Linked DNA regions of Alligator mississippiensis. The main gene of each other region encodes a partner of the protein of the gene in region 2 in a complex. Links are inferred from orthologs where the notes say so. Each region holds a gene or a part of one and is shown on either strand. Other genes may lie near its edges. The genes, in order: DR1, YEATS2, TADA2A and KAT14.

Evidence for each region.
Region 1: YEATS2 (region 2) and DR1 share a complex: the UniProt entries of both Homo sapiens proteins name them as parts of the ADA2A-containing complex. The link is inferred for Alligator mississippiensis from reciprocal best matches to the Homo sapiens genes YEATS2 and DR1.
Region 3: YEATS2 (region 2) and TADA2A share a complex: the UniProt entries of both Homo sapiens proteins name them as parts of the ADA2A-containing complex. The link is inferred for Alligator mississippiensis from reciprocal best matches to the Homo sapiens genes YEATS2 and TADA2A.
Region 4: YEATS2 (region 2) and KAT14 share a complex: the UniProt entries of both Homo sapiens proteins name them as parts of the ADA2A-containing complex. The link is inferred for Alligator mississippiensis from reciprocal best matches to the Homo sapiens genes YEATS2 and KAT14.

Annotation. Positions count from the first base shown.
Region 1 is NC_081828.1:33,511,684-33,519,240, reverse strand, and holds the start of DR1 (protein Dr1), read right to left. Parts: upstream 3,276-7,557; 5' UTR 2,941-3,275; coding exon 2,721-2,940; intron 1-2,720. Other genes in the region: retinol dehydrogenase 8-like, read right to left, coding at 7,420-7,557. UniProt on the Homo sapiens protein: The association of the DR1/DRAP1 heterodimer with TBP results in a functional repression of both activated and basal transcription of class II genes.
Region 2 is NC_081830.1:41,937,961-41,945,539, reverse strand, and holds the start of YEATS2 (YEATS domain-containing protein 2), read right to left. Parts: upstream 3,299-7,579; 5' UTR 3,237-3,298; intron 61-3,236; exon of another isoform or gene 1-60. UniProt on the Homo sapiens protein: Chromatin reader component of the ATAC complex, a complex with histone acetyltransferase activity on histones H3 and H4. YEATS2 specifically recognizes and binds histone H3 crotonylated at 'Lys-27' (H3K27cr).
Region 3 is NC_081837.1:5,728,708-5,737,069, reverse strand, and holds the start of TADA2A (transcriptional adapter 2-alpha), read right to left. Parts: upstream 3,194-8,362; 5' UTR 3,111-3,193; intron 3,080-3,110; exon of another isoform or gene 3,017-3,079; intron 2,818-3,016; 5' UTR 2,325-2,817; coding exon 2,300-2,324; intron 1,229-2,299; coding exon 1,122-1,228; intron 1-1,121. UniProt on the Homo sapiens protein: Component of the ATAC complex, a complex with histone acetyltransferase activity on histones H3 and H4. Required for the function of some acidic activation domains, which activate transcription from a distant site. Binds double-stranded DNA.
Region 4 is NC_081824.1:231,120,261-231,128,520, forward strand, and holds the start of KAT14 (cysteine-rich protein 2-binding protein), read right to left. Parts: upstream 3,294-8,260; coding exon 3,038-3,293; intron 867-3,037; coding exon 748-866; intron 1-747. Other genes in the region: protein PET117 homolog, mitochondrial, read right to left, coding at 3,594-3,743. UniProt on the Homo sapiens protein: Component of the ATAC complex, a complex with histone acetyltransferase activity on histones H3 and H4. May function as a scaffold for the ATAC complex to promote ATAC complex stability. Has also weak histone acetyltransferase activity toward histone H4.

The DNA.
Region 1 (7,557 bases), on a different chromosome or scaffold from region 2:
AGGAAAAGAAAGATTACAGAAGTGGACAGTCCTTTGTATTAGAAGTGAACACAAGGAGTAATCAAGGATAAAGACCTTGCTGAGACCTCAGATGATTTCTGTGCACCAGTGTTTACTGCAAGAAAAGGTAGACCTACCACAGATCATCTCTTTTGACAAATTAAGCTGGAAGAAGTTAGAGCGTCTCACAAGTGGTGCTAGAACAGTGATAAAATTCAGAAGGAAAACTTTACAACTGCTGTTTAATGGATTTGAGAGATGTGAAAGAGACTGAACTGCTACTAACAGCAGCAGTAATGCAGGTTCTCATTAAAATTAGCTACTATATTAGAACTAGGGGGGAAAGCAAACATGGCATCTTCTTTAAAAGAACAGAAGGGCTGAGCCTCAAAATAAGGGTAGTCAAGCCTCTTTACAGTATCAAGTAAATTGGTTTAAGCAGTAAATCCAAACAGAATGTGAAGACATGCCAGAATTACTGGAGCACATCAGTACCATAAGATAAAAACAGGGTTTGGTTTTTTTGGGTGGGGTGGCAGGGGGTTGTTTTGTTTTACAAAAAATTGATCAGACCTTTCTAAAATTTCAAATAATGTTGTCAGTTATTGTAGAAAACTCAATGTAAGGCAGAAGAAACAAAAAACCCAAACACTTTAATTATGGGGAACAGAAAATACTGTAATTATATGCCACTTATAGAAAAGTTACATTATTTTCTTTAATGACATAAACCCTTCTGATTCAGGGATGGGAGGAACAGGTGAAACTACCACCATCACCCGCACTTCTGAAGAGTAAATAAGGACAACAAAAAAAGGAAAATAAGAATAATATGAAATTCTATGGCAATAAAACCCTCCTTACCATATTTAACAGGCCCTAAGTGTGATAGTTGGGAATTAAAGTTTTTTTTTATTTAAAAAAATAAAATGAAATAAAACACCAGGGACAATACTTTACAGACATGCTTGTGTGCATCACTTCACTTTAGTATCCAACCTCATACAAACCCCTTGAATATACTTCCTACCAAAAATAATCACTGTGCACAAAAGGTAAACTAATTAGTATGATTTTAAATTAAATCTGTCCACAGGATCAATCTTACCCACTCTTCAGCCTTTCCCAATTCAATTTCCCGATTTCACTTGGTCTTGCTTCTTAATCCTCACTACTATTCCTAGTTTAAAAATGGTGCTGGTCCCTTTGTTGACTACTTGAGGCAACTATATGTATCAGCACAAAAGCATACAAGAAGTATCACACACATTCTAAGTATGAGTTTTACTTTCTAGAGTCCAAGTTCCAGGCAATGCTACCACAAAGTATAGTTTCAAAGATTTGTTTATTGCAACAAAGTTTAATTCACCTGCTCACCATAATTTGGACGTGAAAAATCCATTTAAAAATTGCAAACGGAAAGCTTTTCAGTGACTTGAGTTGGTAAAAACCATCATAATCTAGATTATTTCAATTATTCATTAATACTTCATAAATCAGCTTTCAAAAGGAACTGCTACAAATGCATGGTTTGGTTGTCTTTCTGGACTTGGAGATAACACTCTGGTTATGCTGCTGCCATTCACAATTTTGTCAAGCAGTAGCAGAGTAAAACTAAAACTCTACTCACTTTCACTATTACTCCTCATATCTCTGTGGGCAGTAATGAAACTGTCAAAACTTGTGGTAATTTACGAAACAGCCACCCTAATTAGCATCATCCTTGAAGACAGGAGAGCATGTAGCAGCTATGGAAGTAGTCAAAAGAGGACAAATGATCCTAGAAAAACTCATTTTCAGCAGCCACATGGGGTAGGAACCAAATGTCAGAGAACACAAGGGCACATTTCTAATTGACACACTTACTACACCAGAAATTAATACAGAAATTGCCAAGCTGGTCCAAGGACAGCTTGGTCAGAATCCCAGAACCCTCCTCACTACATCACTTAGACTGGACTCTCATCCAGAAATGAAAGACCTGGACCTCACTGAAAACCCTGCGTCATCCCCCTGTCCCCCATTTCTGATGCAACCTCAGACCAATTACTGGATCTCAAATCATTGTGAGGAAGATGGGGGAGCAGCAGCCTGCATGGCTGCTGGCCAAGATCATCTTCACCTCATGCATACAGGAGGATTCGGCACCTGGCCCAGGCATTCCAGGAAGCGAGACACAAAACAGAGCCTGGAAGGGAGAAATCCCCACTATGGTTTCATCAGCCCCGGAGGGAGGGCAAGCTTCAGCTCCTGAAAGCTTGGACTGCTATATGTATCTGTCCTCTTTGGCTGGCCTAGAACAGCATTTCTCAACCTGCGGGTCGCAAGAACATGTGAAACAGCTAGAAACAAACTTTAAAAATGGATTCTCCTTTAAGCGAGAAAAACATGGGGAAGGGGGGCTCTTCCCTTGCAGGCTGGCAGAGCTCCAGGGGCTGCTTTGGGGACCCCCTGCCCCACACACAGGGGGGCTGGTGAGAGCAGGTCCAGAGTAGGACTGGCCACGGATGTTTACAAATGGGTCCTGGTATGAAAAAGGTTGAAAGCCACTGGTCTAGAAGGTGCGGACCTGCCCGGCTTCTATTTGACTTTGGACTGCCACGGCTTCTATATCTGTCACCTCAGCCCCACCGCCTCTGCAGGGCAGAGTAACGAGACCTCTGCTTCCCGGCAGCCTGCCCCACCCTGGCCCCCGCGGGAGCGAAGCCACGGGCGCCCACCTTGGATGACATGCTCAGGGGAAATGGTTTTCTTCTCCGACTTGTTGCAGATCTCGTTGGCCTCCGAGGAGATGAGGTGGATGAACTCGGTGCAGCAGTTCACCACCAGCTCGCGGGCGTCGTTGGCCACGCGCACGTTGGGGAGAGTTTCCTTGATCATCTTGTTGATGGCGGCCCGGGGGATAGTCAGGTCGTCGTCGTTGCCGGACGACGAAGCCATGCTCGCTCGCTCGCTCCCGCGCTCCGACCCCGCGGCAGCTCGCTCCTCACATCCAGCGCGGGGCGCTCGCGGCTCCGGGACCGACCGGCCGCCCGGGGGCCGGGCGCGCTCAGGGCTCCCGCAGCTGCTGCCGCCACCACATCCTTCACGCACCACCGCCGGGCGCTCGGGCCATGCCGGCCGCCGCCGCCGCCTTATGACCAGGGCCCGGGGCAGACGGCGGCAGAAGAGCCCGCGCTCGGCTCAGCTGGCGGCGGCGACACCCCGAGCTGAGAGCGGCCGCGAGAGGGAAACGCGATAACGCGGGGCACAGCCTGCGAGAGCGCCACTTCCGCCGGAAGCCGGACACGGCTACTTCCGCTTCCGGGATCCCCTGTGCCGCGGCCCGGAAGTGGGGGCAGCCCCCGCCCGCTGGGCTCGGGGTCGGGCTGTGAGGCTCCGCGGAGCGGCTGGGAGCAGCGGGTGGCGGGAGCGGGCGCCGCGTAGCAGGAAGCTCCTCGGGCGCTCGGCTCCGTCCCGGGTCCCGCCCGCCAAACCCCCCCGCCCCCGGGCGCAGCGACGGGGCCTGCGGCACAGCTCGGCGCCGCTGACTCCGAGCAGCCCCCGCTGGCCTCTGGGCCCTGCAGGGTGGGGCCTCGTCCAGGCGGGAACGAGCCTGAGCTGGCCGCAAATGCTCGTCTTCACCCATCGCCTGTCCGCGCACCCTTCAAAGGACCTGGTGGCAGCCAGGGTAGCCGGCAGGGCCCTGCCCGGGGCTGGACATGGCCACCGCAGGTGGGAGGGTGCGGAGAGCTGTGCTAACAACCCTGCTTGTTCTGCTGCTGCTGCCCTTGGACCTGCTGTAGCTGCTGCTGGCCCTGTGGCTCCTGCCTGGAAAGAGCCTCGTAGCCCAGGGACTTGGATGCCCCGGCCGTAAACAGTACTGTTAGCTGCCCCAGTTTTTAGATGCATGATATCAAGGAATACAGTATTTTCCTACCAGGACCACACTGAACCTAGCTTTCTAGGCACTACTCTCAGGAATTTCCCTGGGGAACTTACCTTTTAGAAAACCTTTTCAGTAAACTGATGCTATGAGTGTTTGTTCCAACTTAAAGGCATTTTTGGCAAACAGTTTGCACTGTATTTTAAAAAAGCATAAAGCTGAAACATTTGTTGGCTATGACTTTCACTATGACAAACTTCTAGATTTCTGTTGCATGTAATTGAGAGATCGAGAATGGGAGCGTTGTCGACAAAGTGACGTTATTTACTTTAGTGCATTTCCCATGAGCAGCACCACACCAGTATACTTTTAGGGAATCTGTTTTGCACATCTTATACCTGCTCCCAAGACCAGAACAATTTGACTTTTGTTCTGACCATTTGTGTAAGTGACAATTAGCACACGTATGCAGTATTAGCAATGAACATATTCAAGTTTTCAGCCATTTCCAGTATCTTCTCTCCATCCTTGTTCCTCACTCCCTACTCATTCCTCCAACATTACTTTAAACCCTTCATTTCTTTTTCTAACGTCCATTCACATCCAGTTTCTCATTGCTCTTATTGGATTCTAGAGGCACTCTTGCAGCCTTTTTCTCTTCTTCTCTGCAGCCCCCTTGTTTTGCGCATATGTTCAACATTCCTTCCGGCATCACAAACTTAGCTGCCATCAATCTGTCACTTGGGAACTCAGTCACACTGCCTTTAAGGCTGCCATGCAATATTACTCCAACTCTCTTCTGCATTAGAGAAGATCCTATATCCTGCTCCTTGTTCTCTTACACTACTATCCTTCCCTTGTGTTTATTATAATCAACCTGCTTGCCCATTCCTTATTTCCAAGAGGTTTACTATTTCTCTCCTGCCTGCAATGCTTTCAGCATTTATTGTACCAGTTCTCATTACTCACTCTTCCACTTGCTTTTTTAACTGCAGCTGTGGGGCCTACTGCACAGGCTTGATCTCTTCCTCTTCTAAAGGATAACTGCAAGATGCTTGGGAATATGTCAATATCTCTCGCATCTGATCCAGATTTGGAGCTATATTTAATTTGGTCTGTGACAATGGTCACAATTTTAAATGGGGACATTATCACCAATCAACAGATATTGTGTGCCAGGGAGTGAGACTGAATTTTGGGAATTTTCCTTCTCCCAGATGGGTTGTCAGCCAGGTTGAAGAAGCCAACGTGCCATGGACATGCTAGTTTTAAGGTGCCTAGTATGGTCAAGTCACAGTGGAATCCACAACTCAGGACCTTGTGGTCAGGAAGCCAGCAAGCCCAGGACTAGGCGTCTCCTTGACTAGTGATAACTCAAGGGACTGGGGAAAATTCAAATTAAAGGAAAAAAAACCCTACTGGCCAGGAAAGAGGGAGAGGGGGAGGAGAAAGGAACACAGTTGAGCTGAACTCAGGACTCTGTGCTTGGGTGATCAACAAGCAATTTGGTATGCCACGTCTATGGATCTTTGCTAGGACCTCCCAGCACATCCACTTGGACTGGTAAGATCCCAGGGGAGCAAACCAAGCCCCAGCCACAAGGCACCATCTAGGCAACTCACAGAATAATTTTAGACTCCTCCAATAATACAGCATTCCACCCTTATAGTTTGAAGAGACCCCAAATGGGGGGGCAAGGGGAAGCCTGGCTTGTGGCCCCCACACCTCTGAGGAGGCTTGTGGCTGCAAACCAGGCCCTACAACGTGGTGCATTCCTGCTGTGGCAGCAGTCAGGCAGATTTGGGAGATGGATCCCACTCTGTTCAGGTGGGCAGAAAAGAAAGTCACGGTCACAGATGGGACAGCACTTCATCCAGGCAAGGCACCACAGAGAAGAGACTTGAATTTACAGCCCGCCAACAGCAGGCCTATAGCCTGTACTATATAGAGCCTGAGGCCAAGTGTTTGCCCTGTGAGACTCGACAGTGGTTACTGCCCATGATACAGCAGCATCTGGAACCCAGGACATTGTATTTAAGAGGCCAGAAAACTGGCCCCTCGCTATCACATAAGGCCCAGGGCCAGGAGTCTCTTCTGCAAGACTCCTTGATCAGTGATAGCTGGGGAAAAATCAAAAGAGAATCACCACCACTGTTAATCCACAAGAGCCCAATCACATAAAAGCAAATGGTAGGAGTTTGTACAGGAAGCTGAATTTTATGGAAGTCTAAGAGAGCACTCTATAGGAAATTACTTTTAAAATTTACCCAACTTCAAAATTCCAGTTTGTTGAGGAACATGCTTTAGATTCTAAATATCGCCTTTCAAAAACTAACAATGTAGCCAAGGTGTAAAAATAAAACAAGAAAACCTGACTTTGTATGCGGAACCCAAGGATGTGTCAGAACTAGTCAGTGGAACTGGCATAATTTAACAGACTACTACAGGTATTCAAATATAGCAGTAAATGTAGGACAGCTGAGGACCAGCATTTTCAAATCTGGGTGCCTGAAACTGTAGGTTGCTAAACCTATATTTAAACACCTAGGTAAAAAGAGTCTTGTTTTCAAATACAGAGAACAACTTAAGTTCCCAATTAAGTCAGTGGGAGATGCATGTATTCAGCGCTTTTGAAAATCTAAATGCATTTATCTAGAAAACTAAATATGGATTTTTAAGAGTCTCCAGTTTTAGGTGCCAGCTTGGAAAATCTTCATTATATTGATGTATTCCTAATAAAAAAAGGAAATAACCATAAGATATTATAAAAAAGTGATTATAAATACACAAAGCATTGTGTTTAAGCTTCTTGGGTCAAATTAATTTCTGTGATAATTGCACTGACTCCTACTAAATTATATCAAAGCTGAATTTGACCCTTTAGGAGTAGCAGCATCATTTAAAAAAATAACACATTCAATGTTCTTTTATTTATACAAAAACTAAAACACACATCAGTTGTTTAAACTTTCCAGTTACTATATTTTAAGACAATTTTAAAAATCTGTACATCTTTTATATTATTAACAACAAGCTTGTTCTAACACTCTAAAATACAGTATTAGAGAGCTAGGTGGTAGTAGGTGATTCAAGAATCACTAGGAAGAGCACACACCAACTGCTGAAACTTCCTTAGCCTGACGAAGAGTTTTTGAATCCGAAAGCTTGCTTAATAAATATTCTCCAACTATTTGGGTTGGTCTAATAAAAGATACCAAATTCACCCAAGGAACCTTGTCTGCCTATGTCCTTAGACCAACACGGCTACAACCTAAACCCCTGAGACTATTAGCAAAGCACTTATATATTACAATAAGGTTCTACAAATAAGATTTTTTTGTACTGCTCTCAGGAGGTTTCACTTTTAATTCCAATAAATGTTGACTACAGACATTCAAAATATTGATAGTCATAAGTCTAATATTTTTACGAGGCACAACTGTACATAAAGAAGATAACCAAAATTATTAACAACAGATCTGGCAAGAGCATTTATCTTCAAAATACTGGTCTGGGAACTTTAAATTCAAAATAAGCCAATGTTGATATATCAACTAAATAGATGCAATGTTCTTTCTACTGCTCCATCTCAGCAGTTTGAAAAAGTTAAGACTTGCATGGAAGATTCTGTCATGATGAAAAACCATTTTGTAGAAGCTATCAATAGGTAGATTTCCGTTTGGATCAGCATA
Region 2 (7,579 bases):
GGGCCGCCGCCGCCATCAGCCGGCCCTGCCCGCTGCCCGTCACGGCCGGGGGCGGCGCCGCGCAGGCGGACAGCGGCGGCGGGGCGGGCCCGAGCGCAACGGCGCCGCCTGGCGGGCTCGCGCCGCTGGCCGAGGGGGGCGGGAGCCGCTGGCCGCGCCGGCTGCAGTGTCCCCGGGTCGGGGCCGGGTCCAGCGTTGCCCGCCCGCCCGACCGCCGCCAGCACCGCGGGCCCCGCTAACGACAGGGCACGTTCAGCCAAGGGCTTGCCCTTGTGCTTAGCTGCAAGGCCTCGGAGATGCCCGCTGGAAAGGCTCCGCTCTCTGCGGAGAGTCCCACTGCAGCCCTCGGGCTGTTCCCTCAGAGGCACCGGGTGTCGGCTACAGCCCGGGGCGGGGACGTGGCCTGGGCTGTGCCAGGGCTCCTGTGGGGCCCCAGGCTGGAGGGGCTCGTCCTGCTGCCCCCTCCCCCCCCTCCTCCCCGACTGGTCAGAGCTGGGGCGGGCAGGAGTCTGACCCCACGGTCGGACAGGGATGGACGGCAGGTGGGGGTTGCTTTCCTTCCTCACAGTGGCCACAAGTAGGGGGTGCACATGGGTGCACCCCCTATGAAAAGGCTGGTGGTGTCTGCAGGGGGTCAGCAATCGTGACTGGCCCCTGCCAGCGGTGTCTGTGGGTGGTCATCAACCCCTGGGCAGTGCTCACCACCTACAGCAGCATCTGCAGGAGCTCCCCACTTACTGCCGCGGGGCTCCCACCGCGGTGCCCCCCGCAGCGGGAGCATAGCCCTCTACCTGGGAGCTCCTGAGCACATACTGAGGTTTCAGGTGGGTAGGACACAGGGTGCCGTGGTTCCCTGCTTTACCTGTGGCAGGTTAGGGTATTAGGTCCGTGTTGCACCTCAGTTGGTTAGATGGAGAGTTTAGATTATGGTTGTATGGGATGGTTTGGACAGGGATGACCCTGCCTCAGGCAGGGGGTTGGACTAGATGACCTTCCAGCCCTGCTTCTTCAGGATTTTGCCTCATGGCTTTTCAAGTCTGAAACAGACCCAAAAAATAAACCAGCTCAGCCACTCCGTTCCTACACTTTGAGGCCTTATTTTGCCTCTTGCGCTGTTCTTTCCCCTTAGCTCTACCTTCAAGCAGTCCATGGCCGCCTGCTTATACTGAGGTTTTCCTGACCTGCATATGACTTTTTGCCCTGTACCACCACCCACCTCTATTGCTCCTACAGTTCATCACAAATGTACACGTTTTGAGTAGAGTTACCACAGAAAATAACACTTCCCTATTCTGGAGGTTACCTTGAAACTGAAGAAAGCATTTCTTTACTTGTTCTGCAAACATGTACAACATGAGTTTTAGGTCTTGAGAGACTGTTTCAGCGTGAAAGGGGAACAGAGGGATTGAGGTCATGGAGGTCAGCTGGTTAACTGATAGCAGGGGATTTTTTTCTCTAAGGATCAGCAACACAGTAGATTGGACTCCTATGGAACTTGGTATGTTTGACATAAGGTTGATAACTTATTTAAGGTTTTTTGTACAGGGGGAGGAGTTGGAATTGCCCAGTAGAATGAAGATATTTACTGAAAAAAATGTAGGTGGTGTACCCCAGAACTGACCAGAGTAGCTAGTCTATGGTCCTATACCACAAGCTCATCACAAAATGAAAATGTATACCTTTCCCCTTGCCCCATGCTGCACTTTGAAGACAGGAGGAGCTCCCACAAACATCTGCAAAACTGCTGCAAAAACTCTTCAGTCACAGCTGCAGTGCTGTGACTCCTCAGCAGAAAAGGAAAAGCCTCCTTCTATTACTTATGAGCCCCTTGTATGCCAGCAATATCCATTTGCTGTGCCCATGAGACAGGGCTCTCTTTATTCCATGTTTATGCTGTGCCTTGCATAATAGTGCCAAGATCTATGATTAAGGCACTACACCACACTATAAATATGAAGTAACTGACACAAGCTGTGTCCCTGCTGTATCTTTTAGCTTCCTAGCACATCTATTTATTCTGGTTTATGCTAGGAAAAATATTCATGTCATGGTGTACACACCAGATTAGATGCACTGAAATTTTCATTTTGGAATTTCATTGGGTTATGATTGATATCAGTGTTTCTGAAACAAAAATACATAAACAGACGGTTTACTAATTACCAGAGGTAATCTGGATCTGCTGCCCATAACTGAAGGCTTGTTTTGCATCATATCCACACCCTTATTTTAAAGTTTCTCACATGGATGTGGTGTACCATTATGGGAAAGGGGCACGCTTGAAAAAGACTGGTAAAGAGAAGTATTTTATACCAAGAATAATATCCTCCAAGATCAGATAAGTAAATTATATTATTATTAAAGAAAAAAACCTCAAAGCAATGTCAAATAATCTTGAGTTTCCAGTCAAGCAATATTTTTTTTCTTTTTTCCAGCATCAGAAATAGTAACCGAGAAGAGGCTAGATGAACACTCTTCTTAGAAGAGTACTCTTTCCTGCTATGGCAGGGGGTCGGACTTGATGATCTGCTCAAGTCCCTTCCGACCCTACCAACTATGAAACTATAAGAGCAGTGTGATCAAGGTACCACATAAAAAAAGCCACACAGGAAACAGTAGAACCTTGCAATTTCACACACTATAATCTGCAAAAGTCGCACTGTTAGCTTGCTACAGAAGCCATTTTCCTCATTGTTCCAGCGAGCTCATATTACAAAAATTCTTTCCTTGCAAAAACTACATATTTACTCAAATATGACAAGATCCCCCCCATCCGCATGCAAAAGAAACCTCTTGTCTTATATTACAAAGCAAGGGGGAGGGGAGGGGGCAGGCAGCTGCTGCAGCTCCGACTGGCCCTGAGCCTATGTCAGTCCCACAGCAGCTCCCTGCCCCCCTTCCGCTTCCTCTCTACTCCCCTTCTCCTCCCCTCACTCCCTTCCTTCCGCTATCAGGCATAGCTGGGCTCTGGCTGCAGCTGGGGTCTCTCCCAGGCACAGGGCACATAGAAAGTCTTTCCCCTGCCCAGCAGCACACATGCACTGCTGTGTTGCCTGCCTGGCCAATCAGCAGCACTGGTACTACTGCATGGCCAGGCAAGGGCTGAGCTTCCAAGCACTGTGGCCTCCATGGCTAAGTACAGACAGTCAAAAAGCCTGAGGCTGAATCGATTCAGTCTTTGCAGGTTAGTCTAAGATTCAGATATTAAATTGAAACACAAGTGAACAGACATTTACCTTTGATTCAGGAAGTGCCACATGCTTGTAGTGGCTCAGTCCAGAAGCCCAGAGCTACTAGAGCATGGCTGTCTGGCTGTGTGTTCACTTCCTTTTCCTGCTGCCCCCGAGGTCTCTGGGATTTGCAGTCCAAAATCAAAGCAGCAGGACTCTGCAGGGTGCTCATCACTTCCTCTTCATGCTTCCAGGTAACTCTGAGGTACTTGGGAGGGGAATTTCATCCCCCTCTCTGGCCCCAGGCCCCAGCTGGGGCTTGCCTGGGGAGGGGCAGTCCCATCCCCTCTGCAGACTAGGCTACAGCCCCAGCCAGGCTTCCCCCCACCCTCTTATATGGTGGCTATCATAGAAGACAGTCCAGATGTCCTCTGTCCTCTCTTGATACAAAACCAGACACCTGTATGTCCTCTATTTTTCTCTTGAAGAGAAAATAGAGGACAGGATGTAAAGGCGTCGGGTTTCGTATCAATAGAGGACAGGACAGAGTAGCAGAAAACCGGAATGTCCTCTATGATGGCCATCCTACCCTCTTATCAGCCAGCCCTCAGTGCTCCAGCTAGGGAATAGAGGGGCAAGGCTAGCCCTGCTTTCTGGAGCAGACAGCACAGCACAGCACAGCCCAGGGTGACAAAGCATTAGGGGGTACTGTGATTTAACTTGGAACCAGGAAGGGGTCTGGGACAGAAGTTTCATAAACTGGTTTGACCCAAATCAGTTAAGTCTGATGCTACATTCAACCAAGTTTATTTTAAACCAGTTTCAGCCACTTTGAAGCTGGTTTATATGCACTGAGCTTTTGTTCTGTTACAGGTTTGAACCAGTTTTTGATCACCTAAACTGGTTTATGTGCAACTTAAGTCCCTAGCCTGTGAACAGCCTGAGCAGTATCTGACAGTAAGGTGGGGAGAGAAGGAGGGGAAGACAGAGACTGCAGGGAAAGGCAATTTTTCCATATACTGTATAGAATCTAAGTATTGGGAGGCAGGGGGTCATCTTATATTCAGGGTCATCTTATTGTGAGTCACAATTATATGTTATATTCAGGGTCATATTATCTTCAGGGTCATATTATCTAATTTTGTGAGTAAATACGGTGCTTTGCCATATTTACTCTTTATAATGGTTCATAGCACACAAGACTAAAGCTGCAGTTGTCCAAAACAAAACAGGAAAGTCAGTTTTGTGATGTGATGTCACTATTTTCTCTCAATTATTCACTTAGTCCCAAGCTCCAATACCTATGCTCACATCAAATAGCACTTCAATCAACCAATGGTCCTATTGATTTGCTGAGTAAGATATTTGAATATAGGTATCTGAACTGGACTTTTCTTTCCTCATTTTCATTGGAGCTCAAGATCATTAGAAAGGTTCTGCTTTACCATGTTTACGACTTCAATCTTGCAAATCCTTACTCCTTTCATTGGCTTTAACATCCCTACTCAAACATGCAGCTTTTAGATTTGCTTTTGGTCTCCAGCCAACACTCAGATGATCAATCCCAATCCCAATGGGGACAACGCATATAAATGCCTGCAGATACAAGTCTTTAACATGCACTGTATTCATCAATAATAATGTCTCCATAATATTACATAGGCGACAGAGGGGGCAGGGGGGCACGTGCCTGCCCTGAGAGCACTGGTGCCTCCCCACAACAGCGAGCGCTTTGGCTGGTAGGAGGGCATGGAGCTGGCCACCGGGGGACCCCACCCCCGGTCGTGCCCCACTGGTCCCCCCGACTCGGGAGGCACCAATCGCCCATGTAATATTGTATGCACATCTTAATTCAGTTTAATTTTATTGCTATTCTTGCTTATAAATCAATGAAAAACAAACAAGGAGAAATAGCAGGAGCTTTTGAAATCTTGTGATCTTATTTTAAGAATAGCTCCCAGATGCCTTCAAAGGATTTTTGCTTTACGGTCTACAGACTACTCTTTCAGGTGAGATTACTTCTGCTAATACAGAAATTATTCTTGGCAAGTTGTAACTGGTTCCAGTCCTTTGAAAGGATTTGACTATCGCAAACAATTATATGGTGAAGCTGATGCAATACGAACACTGGTATTATGGCAAGTTTTAGGCTTCTATTATAAAACATTTTAAGAGAGACACTTTGTAGCTCAGGAGTGTTAGACTTGCATTGTCCCACAGGCTGGAGGAGAGGTGCAGGGCCACTCTGCAGGCCATGCCAGACCTACACATCAGTCCACATTCCAGTCCTGCTCCAACTGCTGCACATGGCAGTTGCACATGGTAGTTGCTCTATTGCTCTGCAGATGTGCAGGACCATGCAGCTCACCCTGCATGCCACCTATGGGTCACACCGAGACCCGTAGGCAGCACCAGGGACACCCCTGATATAGCTGAACAGCAGAATGCAGGCAACCCTTGCTTAATGTGGTTTTGTTATAGCGCTCATTTAAAATGCCTACCTAGATACACTCGGCGCTGAGTGAATTTCATTATAGCGTGGGCATGGGGAGAAGCAGTAGTGGCGGTGGCAGCAGTGAGGGAAGAGGCGAGTGGCAGCTGGCAGGAGCCCAGGAGCGGGGAGGAGCAGTAGCAGCGAGAAGGGAAGGGTGGGGGGCCAGGCAGTGTGAGCTTGGAGCCCAGGCCAGCAGGGTCCAGGAGCACAGGGTCCACTCCGGCATGTGGTGCTGGACCGGCCAGCGGGCGGGGAGGAACAGCGGCAGCAGCGAGAAAGGGTGGGTGGGGGACATGAGCGCAGGGCCTGGGCCAGCAGGGCAGCAGGAGCATGGGGCCCAAGGCCAGGGCTGGCAGGAGTGTAGAGCTTGAGCCAGTGCAAGCCAAGCCCACAGAGCTCCCCTGCACGCGAGCTGCAGTCCGTGCCCTGTTCCGCTCCAGTCATACCTGTGGGGTGCAGCGATCTGGTCATCTCCAGTCATACACTTGTCCCGAGCCTGCAGCGATCTGGTGGTGGCAGCTCGTCCAAGTGCCGGGTGCCCTGGAGGGAGCCCTCGCTGGTTAAAGTGGGGCGCAGACAGGTGGGTAGCCCCACTGCTTACCCTGCGCCAGAGCCCCGACTCAGGCCCAATGGCTGGGGCAGCTGGGGCTGTGCACAGGTGCACTGGTGGCCAGCAGGTGTGGTCCGGCAGGGGTCATTGCGGTGGGGGAACAATGAGGCCAGGAGGAGCTGATGCCTTCCCTAGCAGAGCCTGCATGATGTCTTGCCAGGAGCGGCCTGGCCAGGAACGTGGGGCCCAGGGTGGGGCTGCAGGAGCATTGGGTCTGGGTTGGCAGGTGGTGCAGTACCAATTATCTTTATTTACATTAAATCCTATGGGGAAATGGGTTCCGCTTAACGCTGTTTCACTAAGTGGGTGTTGCCTGTGCTTTGTTGTCCCACCATCATTATAAGACCAAGTTACACTATTATGGGCACATCCACACATGCAAGCACATGTGCTTGCAGCAGCTCAAATAGAAGCAGTACAAATTTGAGCCAAGGCTTTTTGCCTCAGCATACGTGCTTGGACATGAACTTTGTTGCGGAGCAAATTGTGCCATTTAAGGCAAAATAACCCTGCCTGGCTCCTCCTGGATTTGCAGCCAGGGGGAGCTAGAGCTCAGGGCCAGCACCTGTGCTGTCCCCAACAGTATGGCTGACCCACACAGCTCCACCCCCCACTCTCCCAGACTCCCACAGTGGCTGCCCTGCCTAGTCCCATCCCCCACACCCCCATGGCTGTCCCCCCCAGCCCCAGGCACCATCACTTTAAAAACAAAACAAGAAAAAAAAAAAAACAGACCCCCCCCCTTACCTTAGAAAAGTAGGGGCTGGGGGGGCTCTGGGGCCTCCTGGCAGAGCCCTCCTGGGCAGCACAGGGCAGGAGGGCCCCGGCTGGAGCTGTTCCTCTGCCCTGTGCTGTGGGGGCTGGGCCCCAGCGATAAAGACGGCAGCTGGACTGCCAGTAAGGCCCCGGGGGGGGGCGGAGGGATTTGGTGTGGGGATCCAGGAGGAGGGCTTAGGTCAGGCAAGGCTGGGAGGGCTGAGAGAGCAGGTGGGGCCAGCAGGGGTCCCCCCATAGTCCCCTCCCCCCTCCTCCAGCCCCCCCAACCCCTTACTTACAGCATTGGAGCCCTGGTGCTGCGCTGTCTGGCAGGCCGCATGGTTCAGCACCAGGGCAAGGGGCAAACCATAGAGACGCTCTGGCAGCCAGAGCATCTCCGTGGAGGACCCAGCCTCCGGTTGCCTCAGGGCAGAGTCTGGGACCATGCCCTGCCCTGCTTTTGTAAACTTTGGTTTTTTTAGACCCCAGGATCTAATTTTCTCCCTGCACTTGTTCCCGCACGTGCCTCTTGCCCCATCTCAAACAGGT
Region 3 (8,362 bases), on a different chromosome or scaffold from region 2:
GGCAGATATGAGGAGCCATCTATTCCTGGCACACTCCTCAGACAGAGCCTAGAAAGTTTTCATAGATTTCATAGACATTAGGGCTGGAAGGGACCTCGGAAGATCATCGAGTCCAGCCCCCTGTCCAAGGGGCAGGAAGTCAGCTGGGGTCATAGGAGCCCAGCAAGATAAACATCCAAATTTCTCTTGAAGGCATTCAAAGTAGGTGCTTGAACCACCTCAGATGGCAGGCTATTCCAGATCTTGGGGACTTGGACAGTAAAGAAATTCTTTCTTATGTCCAGCCTGAAACAGTCTTGCACGATTTTATAACCGTTTGACCTTGTCATCCCTTGGGACACTCTGGTGAACAAATCTTCCCCCAGATCCTGGTGAACACCCCTTATAAAACTTATAGGTGGTCATTATATGGAGCAACTTAATGAAAGAAAAAAGTTTTTCCCTTTCGTTAAAGGAAACACACATGCATGCATGCACTCACACGCAAATATGCAGGCATGCGTAAACAAAGACAGAAAAGAAATTTAACCTGCTCATGTAGTATGTACAACTGTATCTTGAGATGAATGAACTTTGCCTACAAGAGAACTAAAAGATCACTGGTGCAGTCAAAAGCCCCCAGCTTCATTTCTGAATCTTCTTAGGCTTTACTGAAAAGACGTTAGCTGTTGTTTACCCAAAGCTCCAAACATGTCATGTTTTCTTCCATGAACTGAACTCTCTCACGCAAATGCATTTAATTGATCAGCATTTTTATTTTATACTAAGGGTGGCTCATAGCTATGTACTCCAACTTTTAAAGGAAGCTCAGTGGTAAGATAAACCCCGAGACATGATAGGCGATAGGACAAATGATGGTTCAGCTATCTACATGGGTCAGCAGCCCGTGTCTCCTGGTTTGTCCTTTGCTGCCTACTCAAGGATTTCCTTCATCTGCTCATGTTAAATTTTTTGTTTTTTTCCCTCCAGCCTTTAACATTTCTCCTGGTCCCTGAGCAAACATTTCTGAGGTGCACTTGAGATGATATGAGCCCAATAGTAATGCAGTGGGTTAACACCAGAAATTGTCTTGATAACCTTCTCAAGAAAGCATACGTTTTCACTTTTTACCATCAGCTTACCTGCAAACACAGGAGAAAAGGAGGAGGGCCGCATTCGGCACATTTGATGTACGGTTCTGTGAGGTATGAAGAGCAGCCTCGGCAAGGGGGCTTATCAAATGGGTCATCTACAAAACCAGCAAGAAAACATGCTGAAAGAAATCCAGTGCAACACAAGTATGCAACTGTGGTTTATACTGTTATTCAAAATGGCTAGTCTCAGTTTTAAAATGCAGGTATATGTTTATAGACAGCTGGTCCTGCCTGGGAATAGCAAGTGAACGGACTAGATGACCTTTCAGGGTCCCTCAAGGTATTTCCTATGGTTATAGAAAGTGTGTCTCCACTCTTCTAGATTCTCAGTTTATATTCCATTTTTAAATGAATTATTTTTGCAGGGAAAGAGTTCACATGTTTGCAGTCAACTCTACTTACATGCATACTGGATAAATGCATAATTCTCTTTGCTGCCTAATATGAAGCAGGTCTTAATTTTTTTTGCTTCCACTAGAACAAACACTGGTATACACATATTTTTTTAGTTCTCGGATGTGCCAAAGACCTGCCGCTTCAGAACAGACTCGATTAATCGAGTCTGCCCCGCGTGGGAGCCGACGCGCAATGCGCTGTGCCACATGCAGTTGTGTAAGCAGCAAAATGCGTGTCAGCGCAGAGAAAATGGCAGCGGTGTGCTTTTGAACTAAAGCACTTCAGAGGTGTTTTAATTCAAAACCACACCACTGCCACTTTCTTCCCACTGATGTGCATTTTGCCACTTATACATCTGCAAGCGCTGCAGCACTGGGTGCTTTCTGCAGCAACTTACAAGCATACAAATGCCCTGTCTGCGTATCATTGAAATGAACGAGCCACTCAAGCACATTTTAGCTGCGAGATCTACTTTTGTAACGTAACCGTACTCCGGCTGACAGCGTACCAGTCGGTGGAAGAAAACAGTGAAGCAGCAGCTGTCAAAGGGCTGCTATCGAAAGTCTGGAAAATGACGGGACCTGGTCAGTTTCGGAGCTAGTCGGTTTCGCAGGGTGTGAAACCGACTAGGTCCAGCCCTTTGTCAGTCCCTGGACTCGGTGCTGAAATGCAGCACGCGACCTCCTCCTCTCAGCGAGCTCCAGCTTCCCCTAAACAGCGGCGTGATTGATGCGCCTTGTCCACGCTGAACCTGCAGGCACGGTACTTACTGCTGAACGACGCCAGGCGCTCCATGGTCCTCACGCCGTTGAGCTCGGCCCGGCCAGGTGGCCTCTACCCAAAATAAATTAGGCTGCTATGGAGCCCCTAGTGTAGATGAGTTTCCCCTCAGATGGCCAGGACCGCTCTGGCAACAGCGCCGCCAGCGGTCACTGCAACAGGAACCCCGGCCGAAAGTCTATTTTCTGAAACCAAACGCAGAAAGCCAGGAGTCATAATACTAAAGATCGAGGGGGCGTTGGGCGCGGAGAAGACGGATGGGGCCCAGTAATGGTTGCGATCGCCGACGCGGGTCGCAGCGTCAAAAATCTCGATATAACGCGCCCGTAATTTTTGCCCGCCAAACTGCAACTCCCCTCCTTCGGGGCGTTAGATCGGGTCTGCGTCTTCCCGCGGTTTATTTGCAGTCGGCGCGAACAAAAACGTCAACCGGCGTTTCTTTCCGGCGCGCGGTCCTCGTAGGTGCAGGAGCGGGCGGGCTTTGATGAGGCGGCCCAGCCAATTATTCCTGTCCAAAAAAGACAAATCATTTCAATTTAGGCTCTCAGCGCTTTACGTGCATCTAGTCAATAAACCCATTTCACAGACGGGGCAACTGAGACAACAGGGGAGGAAGCCACTTGCCCCGAGCCGGCCCACCCGTGCTCCCCGGTTGTTTTCCACCCTCTTGGTATGTCCCGTTCCCACCCCCCCGCCGCCGCGCTCACGTGGTCGCTCCCGCCGCCGCTTCTCCACCGGGCGCTCCCCCCTCCCCCCCACGTGCTTCGGCCGCGCGAGCTGCTCCCGCCCCCCCTTCCTTACCCTGCCACCAGCGGCCGGGATATGCGCATGCGCGAGGGGTGAAGGCCAGCCGGGGCGGTGTCCGCATGCGCACCTGCAGGGGTTGGCCGGCGTGCGCATGCGTGGCGCAGCATCCACGTGGGGAAGGGAGAGTCCGTAGTGCAGCGTGCGCATGCGTGTTGCGCCACGCACGTGGCTACTGGGCTCCTCTTCTGGGTGGGGAATGGGGTTGTTCAATGTGGAGGCTGGGCCAAAGTGTGAAAGGGAGGAGAAGGGGGGAGCCGCTTGAATATGTGGGGTATGAAATGGAAATATTTTAACTTGCTAAGAATTTTTTTTTCCAACTGTAAGTTGGTCTAATAAAAGAGACCACGTTCACCCAAAGAACCGTGCCTGCCCCTGTCCTTAGACCAGCAGGGCTACAACCTGCACCCCTGTAAAATGGAAACAACATTTTGTTTCAATGAAAAAATTAAAATACATTTAAAAGATCCTTTTCAAAACACCCCTTCCCGCCCAAACAGCCTCACCTACCATGCAGGACTGTGTCCTGGTGCAGCTGGAAGGATGAGGAGTTGTTCCCCGCTGTAACAACAATCATGGACAATTTGGTAGCAAAATAATCGCCAATCCCTACAAATATCCCAGGAAAAAAGTTTGTTTGGGTGGTTTTTTTTGTGATTTCTTAGTTGGTCTAATAAAAGCTATCATCTCTGGACCAAGTGCCCTAGAGTTTTGCATTTCTTTTTGTCTCAGACCAACAGACCTACCAAATACACCCCTGCAAATATCCCAGACACAGGTGCACGTTCGGGACGCGCTCTGCCAGGACCACGTGAGAAGCAATCTGCGGAGGAGCTGTGGAAGACTGCTGGGAGCGTGTCTTGGTGCAGGCGAAGGGGTGCGGCACAGGGCGAGACACCGCTTTGTTAGGAAGAAGAGAAGGTAAGGAGGGATGTGAGGAATGAGATGAGATGCAGGGTGATGTGAAAGTGGAAGGTTTCAGCCCAAATCAGAAAGGCTCTAGTTCCCACTCACTGGTCTGCATGCACCTGTTCAGGGCCGCAGCCCCAACCCAAACTGAAGGGGCCATCAAAATCACCTATTGCACCAAAGGGCGGATTTGATCCAAAACCTTGGAGGAAGGTGGGAGGGGGAGATGTTAGATCATGTTGATGTTCCTCTCTGCCCATCTCGCCTGCTGCATTTGCTGCTTCTTTGGCCTGCTGGTTGTTAGAAAATGTTGGAAAATTAATGTGACCTTTGTATGACCGTTGATCAATGCTGGCTGATGCAACCTTGAACTAAGATTGCCACTAGTCTGTCATTCTAGGCGGGCAAGCAAGGTGATTGGGCCCAACCATGTGGGGTGAGCAAAGTCATGCCATTTTAGTAATTTTCTGCTGAGTTTTGTGCATGTGTTATGGGAAAGGCTTATGTAACCAAAGTTTATAAATCTATGTGTTGAGTTGCAGTCGGGGTCTCTCTGCCCTTACGAGGACAGGGGATCTTCGGCCGAATAAACTGAAAAGACCACACCCCAGATGGAGCTGGGATACGAGCCCCGTTTGGGTTGAGAGAGTCTGCAGGTGTTCCCTTACCAGATTGGGAGCCTGATCAGACAGTTTCTCTCACATGGTCCACAAGTTCTTCGTGTCGTGTTTTTATCTCCTGTTAGCTCCGATGGAGTCTTCCTCTGTAAGTGTTTAGTGCGCTTGTAATATATTTTCCTGGGTATATGGTTTAGTTTGTGTAATACCAATTCACTTGCAGCTCATCTCTATTTTCGGGCGCGTTCACTGGCGTGACATCACTGATCTCAACGTAGCTATACCAAGGAGGAGTTCATTCTCCCTTCCTCGCTAGGAGCCCTTAAGTAAGCTTCCAGAAGTTTCCTTATTGGTGAGATCAGCTGTTCGGCCTCCTGAATCCGGGTTCACTTTTTGTTTTAGTATCTCTGCTCCTTCCCTGTCCATATTTCCCCGTCCAGTGACCTTACCCTGTTCCTTCCTGCTGTGTTGCACTCTAGTCCTCTTTGCATTTGCTTATCTGCTGCTAGGAGAATGAGGGCAGATACCTGAACAGAGGGAATCTTGCTTTGCATAAAACTGTTGGTCAGGGAAGGCTCAGCTACAAGTTTTCGTTGAGGTCTGTTTCTCTTCTGTGTGCCAGACCAATTGAACCAGAACATGTTATGTTTGGTATCAAAGTCCTGCTCCAGAGATTAAGGTGGATTTTTTTTTTTTATAGGCATGCATCTATGATGCTGTTGTACATCATTGCTTTCCCATACACACATTGTAGAAAAATCCACCCCTGTGGAACACCTGGTCTGGTCATGACCTAATCACCCACAACTTGGATATTATAACCCAGTATTAATTAATTGCCTTCTTCCAACCCCCTCCCCCCAAGCAACCATAATCTCCCCCCAAAACAGTTGTTGCTGTTTGTTCGACTGTAATGTGTTTTTGCTGCTTCTGTTGTGATGTTAATTTTGTTTGAAATGTTGTTTGTATACCCTGAGAGGCTGTGCGATGCTGATTTAGGTGGACAGAGTCTAGATCCCTTGGAGGAAATGTCCCGTTGTTCGCTGTGAGACCAGAAGGCTACTTATTATATTCATGTATGCAAATTTGCATGAGAACTTGAGAGCTGATCTCCAGAACAGGCGGATGTCGCCTTTGGCAGTTCATTTGTGAAACTTGAAGCTCTTGGTAGAGATATGTAACCTGCCAGTGATCAGAGATTCAGTTTGGAGCCTTTGCACAGATGGTGGCTGGCCCAAGCTCAGACACTGAGATGTGGTTCAGCACCTCCACAGCGTTAAGTAGAGGCTGGGGGAGGCTTAGGTCCTGTGTCCCTGTTCAGGCTCATTCCTGATCCTGAACCATTTGGGGCTTTAACATTGGGCTAGAAATCTTGGGAGTAGCGTTTAATTTTGCTTCACCAGAACTAGATAGAATCATAGAAAATTGGGATTGGAAGGGGCCTCAGGAGGTCACATCTAGTCCAACCCCCTGCTCAAAGCAGGACCATTCTTCACTAGATCATCCCAGCCAGGGCTTTGTCTAGCCAGGTCTTAAAAACCTCCAAGGATGGAGAGTCCGCAACTTTGCTGGGTAACTTGTTCCAGTGTTTTACTACCCTCCTAGTGAGAAAATTCTTCCTAATATCTAACCTAAACTTCACTTGCTGCAACTTGAGACCATTGCTCCTTGTTCTGTCATCTGCCACCACTGAGAACAGTCCAGCTCCATCCTCTTTTGAACCCTCCTTCAGGTAGCTGAAGGCTGCTATTAAATCCCCTCTCAGTCGTCTCTTCTGCAGACTAAATAAGCCAAGTTCCCTCAGCCTCTGCTCATAAGTCATATCGCCTAGCCCCCGAACCATTCTTGTTTCCGTCCACAGGATTCTCCAATTTGTCCACATCCTTTCTGTAGTGGGGGGCCAAAACTGAACACAGTACTCCAGATGTGGTCTCACTGGTGCTGAAGAGAGGGGAATAATCACTTCCCTTGACCTGCTGGCAACACTCCTACCAGTGCAGCCCAGTATGCCATTAGTTTTGGCAACAAGAGCACACTGTTGGCTTATATTCAGCTTGTTGCCCACTGTAACCCTCAGGTCCTTTTCTGCAGAGCTGCTGCCCAGCCAGTCAGCCCCAGCCTGCACCAGTGCGTGGGATTGTTCCCTCCTAAGTGCAGGACTTTGCACTTGTCCTTATTGAACCTCATGAGATTTCTTTTGGCCCAGTCCTCCAATTTGTCTAGGACTCTCTGAATCCTAGCCCTACCCTCCAGTGTATCTATGACTCCCCCCAGCTTGTTGTCATCTGGAGACTTGCCGAGGGTACACTGTATGCCATCTTCCAGGTTGTTGATGAAGATATTGAACAAAACCAGCCCCAGGACCTCTCCACTTGATACCAGCTGTCAGCTAGACATGAGCCATTGATTACTACCCTCCAAGCCTGATGCTCCAGCCAGTTTTCTATCCACCTTACAGTCCGTTCATCCAGTTTGTACTTCCTTACCTTGCCTATGAGAATGTTGTGGGAAACTATATCAAAAGCCTTGCTGAAATCAAAGTATATCACATCCACTGGTCTCCCCGCATCCACAGGTCCAGTCATCTCATGGTAGAAGGCAATCAGGTTGGTCAGGCATGACTTGCCCTTGGTGAATCCATGCTGACTGTTCCTAATACATTTTTCTCCTCCATGTGCTTTGAGATGAATTCCTTGAGGGTCTGCTTTGTGATTTTTTCCAAGGACTGAGGTAAGGCTGACCATTCTGTAGTTCCCTGGATCCTTTTTCCCTTTCTTAAATATGTGCACTACGTTTGCCCTTTTCCAGTCATCCGGGACCTCTCCTGATCATCGTAAGTTTTCAAAGATGATGGCCAGCGGCTCTGCAATCACATCAGCCAAATCCCTCAGCACCCTTAGGTGCATCCCATCTGGCCCCATGGACTTGTGTGTGTCCAGCTGTTCTAACTAGTCCCTCAACTGTTCTTTCACCGTTGTGGGCTGCTCACTTCCTCCCCAAACTGCTGCCCAGTGCAGTAATCTAGGAGCTGACCTTGCCTGTGAAGACTGGGGTGAAACAGGCACTGAGCACTTCAGCATTTTCTGCATCCTCTGTCACAAGGTTGCCTCCCCCATTCAGCACCTTCCCTGATCCTCCTCTTGCTACCAACATACTTGTAGAAACCCTTCTTGTTACCCTTCATTTCCCTTGCTAGCTGCAACTCCAATTGCACTTTGGCCTTCCTGACTTCATTCCTGCATGCCTGAGCAATGCTTTTATACTCCTCCCTAGTTATTTGTCCAAGTTTCCACTTCTTATAAGCTTCCTTTTTGTGATTTAGTTTACAGAAGAGTTCCCTGCTAAGCCAAGCTGGTCTTCTGCTGTATTTGCTCGTCTTCCTTGGGGTGGTTTGTTCCTGCACTCTCGGTAAGACTTGTTTAAAGTGCAGCCAGCTCTCTTGGACTCCTCTCCTCAGACTGGCTTCCTAGGGGATCCTGCTCATGAGTTTTTTGAGTCGAAGTCTGCTCTTCTGAAGCCCAGGGTCCTTACTCTGCTGGTCTCCTTCCTTCCTTTCCTCGGGATCCTGAACTCAATCATCCCATGGTCACTGCTGCCCAAATTACCATCCACTACTACGTTCCCCACCAATTCATCCCTGTTTGTGAGCAGCGAGTCAAGAAGAGCATGGCTCCTAGTTGGCCTCTCCAGCACTTGCACCAGGAAGTTGTCCCCAACACCCTC
Region 4 (8,260 bases), on a different chromosome or scaffold from region 2:
CCCCAAATCAGAAGAGCAGAGAAGCACTCCAGCAGTTATGCACACTGGGTATACATCAGCCTGACTCAGTCCTATGAGAACTGAGTAAATAGCCCAAATTTGCTTAAAGCTAAAGGTGAAGAAAACCTTCAGAGCTGTGATTTTCATTAAGATATCAGAGTTCTTTATTTCAAGCACAGCCAGCCTAAAGCTATGAAATCCAAACCTAAACTCTATATCATACAAGGAATCCCTTCTAAGAGGCATCACTATGACTATCAAACTTACTGTTACATAAATCAGAGATTACTTGACTAATGCAAGTATAGAAGTAACTAAAATAGTAAATCCCACAAAGATGACAGCTAAGTGTACTGCTATACCAGAACTTACTACAGCCATGGACAGCCAATAAGCTTTTGCTTCCAGTGAGCTAGCACGCTTTTTGTTCAAACATCACCCTCTTGGTGGCATTTGCTTTGCCCAAAAAGCCAACAGCAAAAATTACATTTTCTTTGCTTTTCCAAACTGGCATGTAGTGGTACTGAGTAGTGAGCAGTTTGGGTCTTGTGACGATCTTTCTGATCTACTCACAAAATATCAAGTCGATAATTAACAATCCTCAGAAAACTCACTTTGGAAGCTCCTGGGTACATTTCTTAGCCTCCTATATCTGACCTCCTAATGTCTAGGACTTGTGTGTACAGTTTAAACAACAAGTTTTGAAGGTCTTATTGTTCTTCTACTACAAAGATGACTTTTACTTACTTGCTGCCATGTCAGTCTCAGTCGTTCAAACTGTTCTTTCCCATCTTCTGAGCAATCAGAGCAAGTAAACCTGAAAAAGTTATCTCCCTTGAGGTAACTGAGTTGTTCTCTCAACTGACCTAAAATGAATAAGGAAAAGACCCATGCCTCAGTTTTTTTTGAGGAAAAGCATTGAAAAGTAGATATAGATTCCCCACAACACCCTACAGGAACACGTTTCTCCTGAGCTGCAGTTCAGCAACCCTGAGTACTCATGAAAAGTTCAGAAACTGTGTGTGATGCTTAAAGTATAGATTCATTGTACAGTTACAGAAACCAGCAGGAACCAATACAGAAATACATGCATTAAAGTAGGGTCTTCTACCTAGCATTCAAATACATTTAAAACATCAAAAACTTTGCTAGACTTAGCTAGACCCTGTTATTTCCTCTGCCTTTTTTTACCCCCTCCCCACAGTTCCCCAGGGTTTTCATAAAGGCGACAGGTAGTCAAAAAGGCAACCCTGTGAAAGATGCCACTATAACCTGGTCTGTGAATATACACGTCTTTCCTCATTTGCCATCTTTCCACTGCTAAGTAACCCTCTAGCTCCTTTCACTGTCCACGCATTCACTGCATGTGAAGCTGTTCTTTCTGCAGTCAGAGACCCACAGAGGTAGACTTACCGTAAGACCTTAAGGTATCTATTTACCCATATTATGGGATTATTCTTTCTTTGGCACTATGACAGGGGAACGCTGCATCCAGCTGGAAATAGAAGATGATACCAGGAAATAGCTGTTCTTGACTAAGATTTATTCTTCTAGATCCTAACTCAGGAAAGCATCTCAGCGCTTAAGACCTTTTGCTGACCTTAAATATGTGTGACTTAACAAAAGGCCTTGATGGAAGAGAGTCAATCCAAAAAATCTTAGCCTTCTAAGGCTAACGAGACTCTCTACTGTGGAAAAGAGGAAATGAGAAGACCTGGGATTGTAAGATTCACTCCCTAGTGAATTATGATTAATTTAATCATAAATATCACTAGCAAATAGGAACAGTAACAGTGTACATCTGGAATTTTTAAAAGTGCTTAACGCAATCATCTAGTTCTCTTTTACTACATTGTTGACCCCACTACAGCAATTCACAATGTATTAGTGAAAGACTAATAATAATGTTAATGAAACATTAGCTCTTGCTAGGCAAAGCTATTTGTCATACTAGCAAAATTGCCAAAAGGAATCCATCTCTGAACATACTTTTATGTGGTGTAAGTCACAGCTAGGATCACTGTCACTGAAAGACATCAGAGAAAAACATTTCTATTTCTGCACACTTGTGTCTGATCACATTCACTCTGTGGCCAGTTTCCCTTGCTGTTTGTATCTTTTATGCAAACAACAAAGATTGAGGGTGGGAAGAATGGAAAACTGGACTGTAAAATAAAAAAAGCAGCAGCAGGACTCAAGAGTCAGAGGGACCACCAAATGCTACTTTTAATTTATTGTTTTTTTACAGACTTAATTTTAAGTTGACTGTGTCCCTTTAGCCATTTGCTACTGAACACCAACAGAGAAATCCTGGCTCCATTAAAAGTTTATGGCAAGACTCCCCTCCACTTCCCTGGGGATGGGATTTCCCTCCAAGGGTTTTGGCAGATTTTTAGCAAGATGGCTAGCCAAAGTAGTTGAAAGGCGCAGACCCAGATTGAAGGGTTTGTTTTCTGCTCCCACAAATGGAGCAGTGCTTAGATTTTGGACAGTAACAGCTATTGTACTAGTACAGGGAGAAACCTAAACTCATTTCTATTATGTTAAACAGAGATACCAGAGAATTAATTTAATCTGGTTAGCCCAAAATGCTTCTAAAGGACTTTATACTCTTCTGTAAATGCAAAACTAAGTGCAGAGTATAAAGGAATATTTCTTATACATACCAGTTGAGAGTTACCCATACCTCTCATACAAACAACAAATCAACCAGGAAAATAAAAATAATAACAACAACAACTCTCTTTTATATAACACTTTTCATCAGTGGGTCTGAAAGTGCTTTATAAAAGGAGATCAGACTCATTATCTGCATTTTACAGAAGAGGAAACTGAGGAATGAAGAGATAAAGTGACTCGCCCAGCATTACTCAACAGGCCAGAGGCAGAGATGCAAAGAGGACCCAGGTCTCTCAAGGTCCAGTCCAGTGCTCTGTCCAAGAAAAGAATATAGAATATTTCACACACACACACCTGCAGAAGCAAACACACAAAAAGAAAGTGATCAAGGAAACAAAGGAAAGGCATTGTTACTTACTTGCTGGTATCCACTTCTGACACTTCTCACAGTAGTAGGACAACTCCTCCATCCAGGATGCATCCCCTTCATCACTGTTCAAAGAGTCCCCGCTTTGATCGTGGGATAAATCCACAGAGGCCTGATCCTCAGACTCAACAATAAGGAGAGTCTCCCCTTCCACCTCACCTTCCTCCAGACCTTCAGAGGTGGATGTCCTTGTGGCTTCATCATCATGACGGCTCATTAGCCCACTCATGTGAACATTACCATCCATCCCTTCTTCACAGGGAGAAAAAGAGGATAGTTTACATTACCAGGTGCCCCCCCTCCCAATGTTTAAAGTATCAGCCACATTGGATAAGCCAGCCAAGTCCCCCGCACACATGAAGATACTGAAGCCAGAAGGACCTTCTGTTTGCATTTACTAATGCCTGTAATTTTCTGTGTGGGATTAAAATTAATCTAGAAGAGATGGACTTTCAGCGACAACCTGCGTATATGGAAACACCAAGGCACAAGCAGGCGCAATCTCTTCCGCGTGTCTTCAGTGAAAACTAATACTCCCGTTCTACATCTAGGATTGCTGGGGTCCTCTGTCCAGAGCCTGCCTGTCTCTTTCTGCTTCCAGATGCTTGGTCAAAATAATCTGATCTTCTAAAAGGCGAATGTTCTCTTGTTTGCGACTTTGCCTCTCGAGGTCTCTGAGTACACCTTCACGCAGTCTCTGAAAACACAAAACATGGCTCATCGCAATGCAGCCTGTGCTATATGTGATTAATCTCCATTTGTACTCCAATCCCTGTTGCAGGATGGATAATCACTTAACAGTTGCAAATCTTTAGTTCTCCCTCAGTGACTTGAGTTGTACCTAAATATAGGATCTGAGAGGTAGATGTTGATAAGCTGCTGGTAAGGGGCCAAAACCACTCTCTGTTGACTTAGCTGTATGGTTTTAATGAGGGGAACCTGGTGAGCAACTATCAACATTGTATATGGATAATTCCTGCAGCAGTGGTTCTCAACCTTTTTTTAAACTCAGGACACCCCTCATTAGATTCAAGGCACTCCTGGGAAAACACTCTTAGTTTTCACTCATCTCTTAACTATGGGAAAAAAAAAAGCAATTTTTTATTGCAAAGAACTCAGACAGACCACAACAGGTCACCATGCTGTTGACACTATAGATCCCTATTTGAAAACTTTGGGTTTATCTTGTGAATCATGTGTAGATGTTTGCATATCTAATAGTGCTGACATAGTGTGACACCCCCATGGCACTCTTAAAATATATTGTGGCACCCTAGTTTAGAATCGCTGTTTTACAGCAGGGGTCAGAAATCTTTGTAAGTTGGGGGCCAGAACAACCCAGCTCCAGTCTGGGGCAGACCAGGTGGTTTTGGCAGAGAATCAGCAAGTGGGGTGAGGTAGGGCGGCAGGCACTGCTGCTGCTTCTCTAGTCCCTAGCCCTGGCTGGGGCACAAGCGCAGCTTCCAGCTGATGGGGAACTGTGCCAGGGCCAGACAGCTGGGAGATGTGTGTACCATCACAGCTCCATCCCCCTCCTTCCACCTCTCCCCAGCTGCAGCACAAGCACAGCTTCCAGTCAGTGGAAACTGAGGTAGGGGAGCTGAGCAGCTGAAAACTGCACAACTCCAGCTCAGCTACACACTGACTGGAAGTGGCACCCATACTGCAGCTACGGGGGGCTGGGAGAAGTGGCCACAAGATGGACACAGCTTCCAGCTGACCAACTGTAATGCACCTCCTGGCTGCCACGGGCCAAGGCAAAACCCACTATTTCTGCAGGCCAGATCCTCTGGCTCTAGCCACTCATTGCCAATCCCTGATCTTTAGCATTACAGGAAGAGCCCTTACTCTATAGAAGATCGTGACTTCTACTCCCTGCCTTTACCAAAATTAAACTCTGTCCCAAATTTCTCTCTTTGTGCTCCTTTGCTTGAGTAGAACTTGGTGGTGACCTGGAAGGATTTTAAGAGGACTTGTGCCATCTTCCACTTCTTTGTGATGTACAAAACACAGACTGAAATGGTTGCTTCCTGCTTGTTTCTTACCCTTAAGACACCTGAATCTAACGTCTCCTCTGATTTTGTTGGTGACCCAGAATGTGCTTATTGTAAGGTCTTGAAAAAATAACACGGGTCATTTCTCTAACAATACTTATTAAAATTAATCAGACATTAACACAGACTACACAGTGGCTGTCTTTGTAAAAATTAAGCAAGATTACTAGTCTTGAAAGAGAAGAGTTTCCTTTGGCTTGGTTACTTTGTGCATTTGACAACACTGTGGTCCTAACCCTATGGCGAAATTTGAGCAGAGTCCCTCACACCCTAGTAGAGCCTCCTACGCAACCTCAGTGGGGATCCACCTTCACAGTTCACTGCACTTTGTGCACAGTTAGTGTCACCGTTTTCGCTACACATGGTCAATCAGGCCTCAACCCAGATGCTGGATCTATAAGGATAGATCTGAAGGCTGAATTGGAGTCTTTGTGAGTGTCTCCTGTTGCTCGTGTGTGTTTGTACCACAATAAGGGAGAGAAAGGCATATTTAAACTAAGAAAATAAAACTACAAAACCATAAAACATGGTGGAGGCATTGAGCAGCAGATGTAATATCTGACACTGACACCAACCCTTTTGTAAATGAACAGATTTCAAGCAAACTTACTACAATATTACAATATTGTATTTGATGAAAGAAACATATAAAACAACAGTAGAAAAGTCAATACTGGCCTCCACATGGATCCTGCTGCATAATAATGGTCATGTTTTGCTCCTACTAAAGTCTTAATCTGAAGAAAGGCTTACACCCCTGCCGAATGTATTAACGCGGCAGTTCTCAATCTCGGTATACTCAAGGCGCCCCTTGGAAAACGCCGGCTCTTAGCTTTCACTCAGCTTGTGAACTATGGAAAAATAAGAATCAATTACTCTGCTGCAAAGAACTCAGACCTCAGCAGGTCAGAATGTTGTTGACACCATGGATTCTTATTTGAAATCTCTGGGTACTGCAGGGAGGTATCCACACACCTAACAGTGCTAATACTGTGCAGCACTCCATGATGCCCTGAAAAGGATTTCACAGCACCCACAGGGTGCCCTGACTGAGAAACACTGTACTAACTTTTATGAATGCTGATGTGCTTGGGATCCAGGTTTTGCCTGATCAGGATCCAAATGCATTCGTATGTACTTAAACTGGTTGGCTGAACACAAGGGAGAAAAAAGCATGACAAATTATTTAACGAAATGACAAAAAATGTTGAACAATTTATTTCAGAAATATTGTCTAATCCCATACAGAGCTAATTAATGCTAAAAATAGGTAAATCACTTATTTGAAATCTAACTATAAAGTCATCAAGTTATCAAAAAATGTATTATTTAATCACTTCTAAAAGAAAGTTTTTATTTTTCATCCAGAATCCACCTAATTATACATTTCACAGGAAAATATTTTTTCCATGAAAATTATCAAGAAAAAAAAATACTTTATGCAAAAAGTACTTTAATTTAAAAGAAATACAAAGGCTAGGAATATTTTATCCACTTTTCTCAAAACCTCTCTGGCAATTAATCTGATGACAAAGGTGCTTTCCCATGAGTTTCAATCAAGTTAATACAAGTTACAACTTACTACTATTTAATGGTAGACCTGGCAAACTAATTACTTTAATAGAATTAGCTAATCAAAATCTAGAAAAGGTATGGAGATTATAGAACAAGTGAACAACTGAGGCTAGAAACATGTTTGCTTCCTGCTTTATCCCACAGAATTCAGATGATTAGAATCTATCAGACTGCAAGTTCATTAATTTCAGAGCTCTGAAAGTATATACCACATTTATTCAAATCAAGTCTTTGCCCCATTCAACATGGGGGAAAAAAAGGCTTATCTAGGATTTGAGTACTTCCTCGGCACAGGTGGCTAGTGCAACACCAGCTCTGGTGGCATAAGCTAGAGGCTAGAGTCGGAGGCAAGTGTAAGACAACCCTCCAATAATTATATATTATACATGGAAAGTTATAACAAATTTATAATTCTCCATGCCCAGATGCTAATTATTTGGGGGGGAGGGGTAAGGGGGCTGTCTTAAATCTGAAGTTGTCTTGCATTTGAGTAAATATGGTAGTTTTTATCATTTGTCACTAAGAGCTACCAAATATCACTAGTTGATTTGGAGTATGTGCATACAGATTTGGGCCTTCTCTTTACACAGGAACTTGCACCATTTTTTTTTAATTCATTCATTTAAATATATACAAACTGAAATTATAACTGGCTTTTACTAACTTAATTTATTAAGGCTAGAAGTTGATTAATGTAAATGGATATAAACCAGACCTCACTAAACACAAGAGCATCCATATTTAGGGTTTGCAGTGGCTAAACTGAATTGATTTAGTTAAATTTGGGCACTGACAACGCACCAGACATCACTCTCAGAGGATCTGGGTTTGAGAGGCTAGTTTTAAATATCCTGCACAGTATGGGAGCTGGGGCAGAAACGGATATATGGCTATGTAAGATTTTGCTCTTCCCCTAACATTAGGACATCTGTTTGAATCTTTGGAGGTTCTATCCATTCCCAATGAGGTCCTGCTCATACCTAAACCATCTCCCAAGCCCTGCCCCCTTCCACCTTGCACTCAGCTCTTTCAGCCTCCTCCCAAGGTTTCTGTCCCCCAGCAGAAGCAAATACGTGGGTGCCATGAAGCCTGAGGCTATCAGACCCTGGATTTGTAAAGAAGAATCTCAGCTCTTCCTTACAGAAAGAAATTTCTGAATAGAGCCTTGAAAATACAAAGGATTATAAACAGATTGTTATGGAAGAAAAAGCCCGTGGGTTATACATCTGCAACAGGAGACAGAAGAACATTCATTCTGCCTCTAGTCTTCAGAACAGCTATCTGCACACTGGTGTGAACAATCTGGATGGGAAATGGTTCTATCTCCAAAAAACCGATGGGGATAAAATACTCTTTCATCAGCCCCTAAAAAAATGCTCATGTTACCCTGGTCACCCAAAGACCTGAAACAGGTCCGCCTAGCTGACCAACAGACTCATCTGACCCCTCCACCTCTGGAGGGTTTTACAGGCTCCATCAAATCTGGCAATACTGCACGTTCTCTGCCAGCTGAATAACTGTTACATTTCTAACGCTGTGGGGTTCTCGCATCCAGAAGTGGTTTTGGATGACCTGCCCCGAGAAA